2 linked regions of the Oryzias latipes genome follow. The protein of the gene in region 1 interacts with the protein of each later gene in a biochemical or structural test. Links are inferred from orthologs where the notes say so. Each region holds a gene or a part of one and is shown in the gene's direction. Other genes may lie near its edges.

Evidence for each region.
Region 2: of the proteins of prkn (region 1) and pink1, one has a biochemical effect on the other in vitro, tested with the Homo sapiens proteins (12 studies listed by BioGRID, with this or other methods). The link is inferred for Oryzias latipes from reciprocal best matches to the Homo sapiens genes PRKN and PINK1.

Annotation. Positions count from the first base shown.
Region 1 is NC_019873.2:12,960,644-12,964,617, forward strand, and holds the start of prkn (E3 ubiquitin-protein ligase parkin), read left to right. Parts: upstream 1-1,174; 5' UTR 1,175-1,670; coding exon 1,671-1,689; intron 1,690-3,974. UniProt on the Homo sapiens protein: Functions within a multiprotein E3 ubiquitin ligase complex, catalyzing the covalent attachment of ubiquitin moieties onto substrate proteins. Substrates include SYT11 and VDAC1.
Region 2 is NC_019865.2:23,696,226-23,698,988, forward strand, and holds the end of pink1 (serine/threonine-protein kinase PINK1, mitochondrial), read left to right. Parts: coding exon 1-32; intron 33-127; coding exon 128-255; intron 256-916; coding exon 917-1,147; intron 1,148-1,274; coding exon 1,275-1,559; 3' UTR 1,560-2,263; downstream 2,264-2,763. UniProt on the Homo sapiens protein: Serine/threonine-protein kinase which acts as a sensor of mitochondrial damage and protects against mitochondrial dysfunction during cellular stress.

The DNA of each region.
Region 1 (3,974 bases):
GCCGCATACGGTCACACCTGTATGGTCAGAACTGACACTTAGCTTTGCGTATGGAGTAATGTAATTAGATTCAAACATACACAATTGCCCTCCCCTTTTACCTCCCTTTCACCTGTATGGCGGCACCTGCCGTTTCCCAAAGGCATCATGGGAAATGAAGCTGGATCATCAAACCAGTTTGCCGCTGTGAAACACGATTGGATCGATCATCTGTGGTTTTCATCCACAAAACTGGTCCTTTAAACGACGAGCAGGTCCAAAACTGCATCGACACCGGACCCGTGAGCAGTTATCCAACTTTTGATCCATTTAGTTGATTGATGGTCAGAAGAACTTTCTGTCCCTGTTGGCAGTTTTCCCTACCTCGCTCCAGTGGATTGGGCTGATTAGGCCAGCCAGGCTGCTGATGCTGTGTTTTGATTGGCTGACGGTGTTCTTTGTTATCTGGCTGGCCAGTCAATCTTGGTTACTATAACAACAGTTTAATCATCAGCAGGCAGAAATGGGTGTTCTATTCTTCAAAATAAAAGCTTCTAGCAGAAATCCACGCTGGAGTCCGAGGGATGTGTCCCGGCGCTCCTCAGAGAAAACTATCTTGTCGGGTCCTAAGACGTCTGTTGGTAAGGTGGAATGTTCTGATGTTCCAGAAACAAAGTTGTCATGACAGCATTGGCTCCTCCTCACATATAAAGGTGTTCTTCGTGTTCTCCAGCTCCCGCCACGGTGTATGGAGCATGCTGATGAACTGGGACAGATGTTTGGTCAGTTCAAGCCTCTGGACTCCACGTTCATTTGGAGCAGCTCTCACCAAAATAAAAGCTTTTCCTGTGCCCGCCCAGGAACAGTTATTGAAAAAGAGTTGGCTTGGAGTTAATTTAATGGTGACATATTTATTTTGGTCTCAATGCCTATGACCCCCCCCTTTCACCAAGAGACAAAAACACTCAGTCCCTCCCACCATGTTCCAGTTTTGTTTCTGACACCTCTCCTGTCTACAGTTTAGACCAGTGTTGTGTTGGTTTGTTGCAGTGGGGGGGTGATGGTGGTTTTCATTGTATCGTGTTTGCCAATAGAATAAAGCTGTTGACATGTTTGTCTCGTCTTTGGAATAAACTTCTATCCAGGCTGTTTTTACTTCCTGCCTCCAGCAGGAGGAGCACACATGGAAGCACGGAGCCACAGGGAATTTTTGGGGATACCATCAATTGTAGATCCAGTCAGCTTTAAATTTAGGCAGAACATAAAGGTTAATCCAAAGTCAAACCACAGCTATAGAGCACATGGGAGACAATCTGCATACATACACCCTTTAAATAAGCCAATATTTCAAAATAATCGAGTGCAAGCTGACTTTATCTGTATCCTGTAGAAGGTTCCGGCTGAGGAGCGCGCGCCAGGATCTGCTGTCACTGAGGACACATGGATAAGTCATCCAACCTTTCCGATCAAAGATCGACTGTAGTGGATATTTAGTACCAGCTGCTATTTTCTAGATGTTTCAAAAACAACCACTGAATGGCTGTTGAGTTTATTCATCGTCAGAGTTTGAATTTTAATCGTGTTTTTTGTTAAGTACATACACTTCCGGTGTTGTTTACGTCACACTGTACAGCGGACCGACGCCGGAAACATAGGAGAAAATGTACTACAGCTCCCAGAATGCTTAGCGAATGAGAAGGCTGATGATCGGTGAGTTCCGAACCGGGTCCCCAGTTCCAAACCGGGATATCTTCGACTGACCAATCGCGCTGATCTTATCTGGTCTGTCCGCGTTCCCGTCAGTTAGATCGGTCCCGGGCCAACATTAAGCGCGGGTTTAAGATGGGGTCGGTTGGGTTGACGCCGGGACCTTGCACCGGCGTTAAACTGTAAACATACAGATACACAACATGAATGTGTTGAAGCTGCTTAGTTATTTATCATGGTTGATTTCCCAGAATTTTGTTAACAAAACAAGCGGACATGTTTTGTTTGTTGGCTTAACCTTATGTGACCGTCTACTTCTTCCCAAATAAATCCGCTTCAGCGTGACACTTCTGTAATTTATGTACATTTCCAAGTTGGCACAATACCACAAACACCACAAGTAATGCACAAAAATAGCAGTAAAAATAATAAAGGAATACAGTTTGTTTACAGACTTTTACAAATTCGTGTTGTCTTATAATACTGCTCTGACTGTCTCATTAAAATAACATGATCCTGACAGTAAAAACACAGCTCTGGATTTCCATTTTGCCATTAAACCTTTATTTAAGCCGTCTTTCTTAATCCACAAGTTTTTGTTTAACAAGTCTGTCTCTAATCTAATATTCATTTCTAAACTCCCAGAGAAAACTGCTGCAGATCAACTCTGTGAGCGTTTGAACAGAATAATTTGTGATGAGTTTTAGTCAGAATTTCCCATATCATAGCTCTGCTGAAGGTAACCATGACCTCATGGCTGCCTGTACTTGTGTCTGTGCATGTTCTTTTAGGCCTCAGTGCTGTTTGTTTGACATACTTGATTAGAACGTTTTGTTGCAGCTAATAGAATATGGCATTGTCAAAATGCTTCCAACACTAGTATGAAGCACAGAAAACATTTCCATTGGTCATTTTTGTCATGAGATGAACTTGAATTTCTGAAACATTTTCTACATACACAATATAACAATTTCTTTCAATTATTGCTGACAAAACTGCCTACATTTGTGATATTTAGCACTTCTGCTTTGCTGAGATGATCCATCTCACCTCACTGGTGTGCCATATCAAGATGCTGTTTAGACAGCATGATTATTGCACAAAAGACTGGCCTCAAAAAGAGGCCAGTCTGAAATGTGCCGTTTTGCTTTGTTGGGGGTCTGGGGACTCAGAAAGCCGGTCAGTATCTGGTTTGACCAACATTTGCGGCATGCAGTGCAACCCATCTTCTCTGCACAGAGTTCATCAGATTGTCAGGTGGCATGTATACTTTCAAGAGAATCTGAGACCAGCCACTCAGACAGCTGCTGAAACAATTGGTTCGCAAAACCCCAAAAAATCTCCACAGAAACCATCTCAGGTAAGCTCATCTGCATGCTTGTTGTCCTCATCGATGCTAAAGCCCGACTCCAGTTTGTTGTCATAACCGACTTGAGAGGGCAAATGCTCACATGACACATGGAGAAGTGCTCTCTTCACGAATAAATCCTGACTCATTCTCTTTACTGGACATGTCAGACAGAACAGAGGTGCATTTGATTGACAGCATTTTGAATGCACAGAGACCCGGTGGGCCGTTGTATCCCATACATCCAACAACATCACCCCATGTTGCAGCATGATATTGCACGGCCCTGTGTTGCAAGGATCTGAACACAATTCTTGGAAGCTGGAAAAACATCCCAGTTCTTGCGTGGCCAGCATCGTCACCGGACATGTCACACATTGAGTATGTTTGGGATGCTCTGGATCAGCGGATACGACCGCGTGTTCCAGTTCCTGCAAACATCCAGCAACTTTACACAGCCATTGAAGAGGAGTGGGCCAACATTCCCTTAATCGCAAACCTTATCAGCTCTGTGTGAAGGAGATGCACTGCATGAGGTAAATGTTGGTCACACCAGATACTGACCGGCTTTCTGAGTCCCCAGACCCCCAATAAAGCAAAACGGCACATTTCAGACTGGCCTTTTATTGAGGCCAGTCTAAGGCACACTTGTGCAAAGATCATGCTGAGGAAAAAGCATCTTGATATGGCACACCTATGAGGTGGGAGGGATTATCTCAGGAGAAGTGCTCACTATCACAGATTTAGACGGATTTTATGGACAATATTTGAAAGAAATTGTTATTTTTGTGTTTGTAGGAAATGTTCAGATCTTTGAAATCAGCTTAAGACAAACGGGAGCAAAAACAAAACTGTTGCGTTTATATTTTTGTTCAGTGTAGTTTCAAAGATTTCAAGTCTTGGATGACTTCCAATTTTCTTTCACTAACTCAGAAAACAG
Region 2 (2,763 bases), on another chromosome or scaffold:
ATCAGACAACGTGCTGCTGGAGTTTGACTCGGGTGAGCTCTAGAACCAGACTTTGATTGGAAAAACACCTTATTTAACATCAGCTGCTCCACGGATTTGTCTTATTTTTGTTTGTTTTTATGCACAGATGGTTGCCCCCGTTTAGTGATCACAGACTTCGGCTGCTGTCTGGCTGAAAGTGAGCAGAGTTTGCAGCTGCCCTTCAACAGCCAGTGGGTGGACAGAGGGGGGAATGCCTCTCTTATGGCCCCTGAGGTATAAATACTTTATTTTTGTTTTAAATAATCTTCATATGGTGGTTTTTATAAAGAAGACTAAAGGACTGGCTTACATATGAGCATGTCTTAATTGTCATGGATCCCAATGACTGAGTGATCATGACTTCTGTTTTTATTCAAATGCCAAGTGTTTACGACCACCTGATCATCAAAACAGAAGTGGTTTATTAAGAAAATGTCTCTGTCATAATCATAAAAACATGCATTATCCATGCGAAACACCATGACTTCCTGTTTGAAGCAGGTCCAAAAACAAAAGTATCTGCTGCCAGATCAGGTTATCAAGTGACCACTTCCTGGCTTGTTGTAATATGTCCATTTCCATTGATTTCAATGTAAGATGCCCCAACCAATGATTGACGTTAGTAAAACGTAATACATTTATTATAAAAATCATAAAATTGTGTATTTTAGCATCAAGTAAAAGAGATAAAGATGGCGTAAAAAAGAAAAAATTGAGTCCCCAACATATTTCCCTGTGGTACTCCATAAAACTAAAATACAAGAGATGTATTAATTGGCTGTGTCACAGTTCACTTAGCTGTTTGATCACTACTTTACTAATTTGGATAGACCGTTTGGTGTAGTGTCTGCAGGCTGCAGGGGCTCATCGTCTCTCTGTGCGTTTCTGGCATTAGGTGGCCTCTGCAGTCCCTGGGCGCAGAGTCGTGATCGACTACAGCAAGGCCGATGCGTGGGCTGTGGGCGCCATTTCCTACGAGATTTTTGGTGAACCAAATCCATTCTACCATGCTGTTGGACTGCATAGCATCAGCTACCAGGAGAAGCAGCTCCCTATCCTGCATTCCAGTGCCCCCGCTGATGTGCAGTTAGTGATTCGATTACTCCTCAGGAGGAGTCCTACAAAGGTAAAGCAAAGTTTTTTTCAAAATGGTTGAATTCATGTAATCATTATTGTTAATAATTACATAAATAGGAGCAGATATAGCGATAATCTAATAAATTCAATGTGTTTGTCTTATCTCTGCCGTGTAGCGCCCCAGTGCTCGTGTAGCAGCAAACATGCTGCACCTCACCCTTTGGGGTCAGAGGATTCTGGATAAACAGGGAAATGCTGGCATGAGAAAGCTGGCTGAGTGGTTACTGTGCCAGTCTGCTGTGGTTCTGCTGAAGGGCTGCAGTGGACCTGCTGGGAACAGGGTGGAGGCGGAGCTTCAGAGGAACTTCCTGAGGAACCTGGAGCTTGAGGAGCTGCGCACAGCGATGGGCTTCCTCATCTACGGACGAAACCAGCACACGGCCCGCATCCCGTCTGCTTAGATGTCTTTAATTTTGCAACCAGAGCTGAGCAGATATCTATGATAGTTTTTCTGCGGTTATATGTTCTCAGACACTTTATTAAAGTTGGGAGGTTGTATATGCTGCTTTTGAAGTTGAATAATCCTGACGTATTAAAGACGCTCCTGATGCTTCTCTGAAACTGCGTTTACACCGGGCATGTGATGCGCGTTCAAGACGCGTTTTTGAAGGCACATTTAGCAGGAAAAAAACTGTTTTCCCCCCACTGTTTACTGACATGTCCACCACCAACAGTTGGAAATGTCAAAGCGGTGCAAATCCATGCTTTATTCCGACATACAAAAGACCTGGTGTCGTATAATTTTGGCTATTTCAGCTCGACCTGGTTTAACTTTCAACACGGGTTTAATGGCCGTGCGTTTTGTATGTAGAGCTCAAAAATTGTCTTTAAAATGTACGTAGCGACACGTGAATGCAAAGGTTTTAAGCGCTAGCCTGAAATGCGCATTTACGCGTGTCTATGTAGACTTTTTATTGGAAGTGCTGCTTGAACGCGCATTGCAGAGGGCGGTGTGAACATGGCTTTAAAGTTTTCATGCACTCTGATACTGTTGCGCCGCTCGAGGTTGACTCGCCTGTGCCCTGGATCCCCTTCAATGTACTTTAAAAAACGTTGCACTATTTTTCTCTGCTGTGTAGTCATAAAGGTTCACATTTATTTATCAGCGTGTGTGTCAGGTTGCAGTCCCTGCATGTCTCCTGCATGTTTAATGATCGATGTGACTTTGTTCCTGTTTGCACTTTTTAACAGAAAAACTAACAAGATTGTCAGTTATTATGGAATCACTCAGTAAATTTCGAAAAATAACTGTTGATAATTTGAGATTAAAGCGGGTTTGTAACTCCCAGGAAGTTATTCTATAAAAAGAATGTATAATTTATCTTCTTTCTCTTTCGGCTTTTCCCATCAGGGGTCGCCACAGCGAATCATCCTTTTCCACCTCACTCTATCATGAACATCTTCTACCCTAACATTAGCCAACTTCATGTCCTCTGTTAAGACATCCATATATCTCCTCTTTGGCCGTCCTCTTGCCCTCCGGCCAGGCAGCTCCATCTCCAACATCCTTCTACCAATATATCCACTATCCCTCCTCTGAACATGTCCAAACCATCTCAGTCTGGCTTCTCTGACTTTGTCGCTAACACAGGCAACATGAGCCGT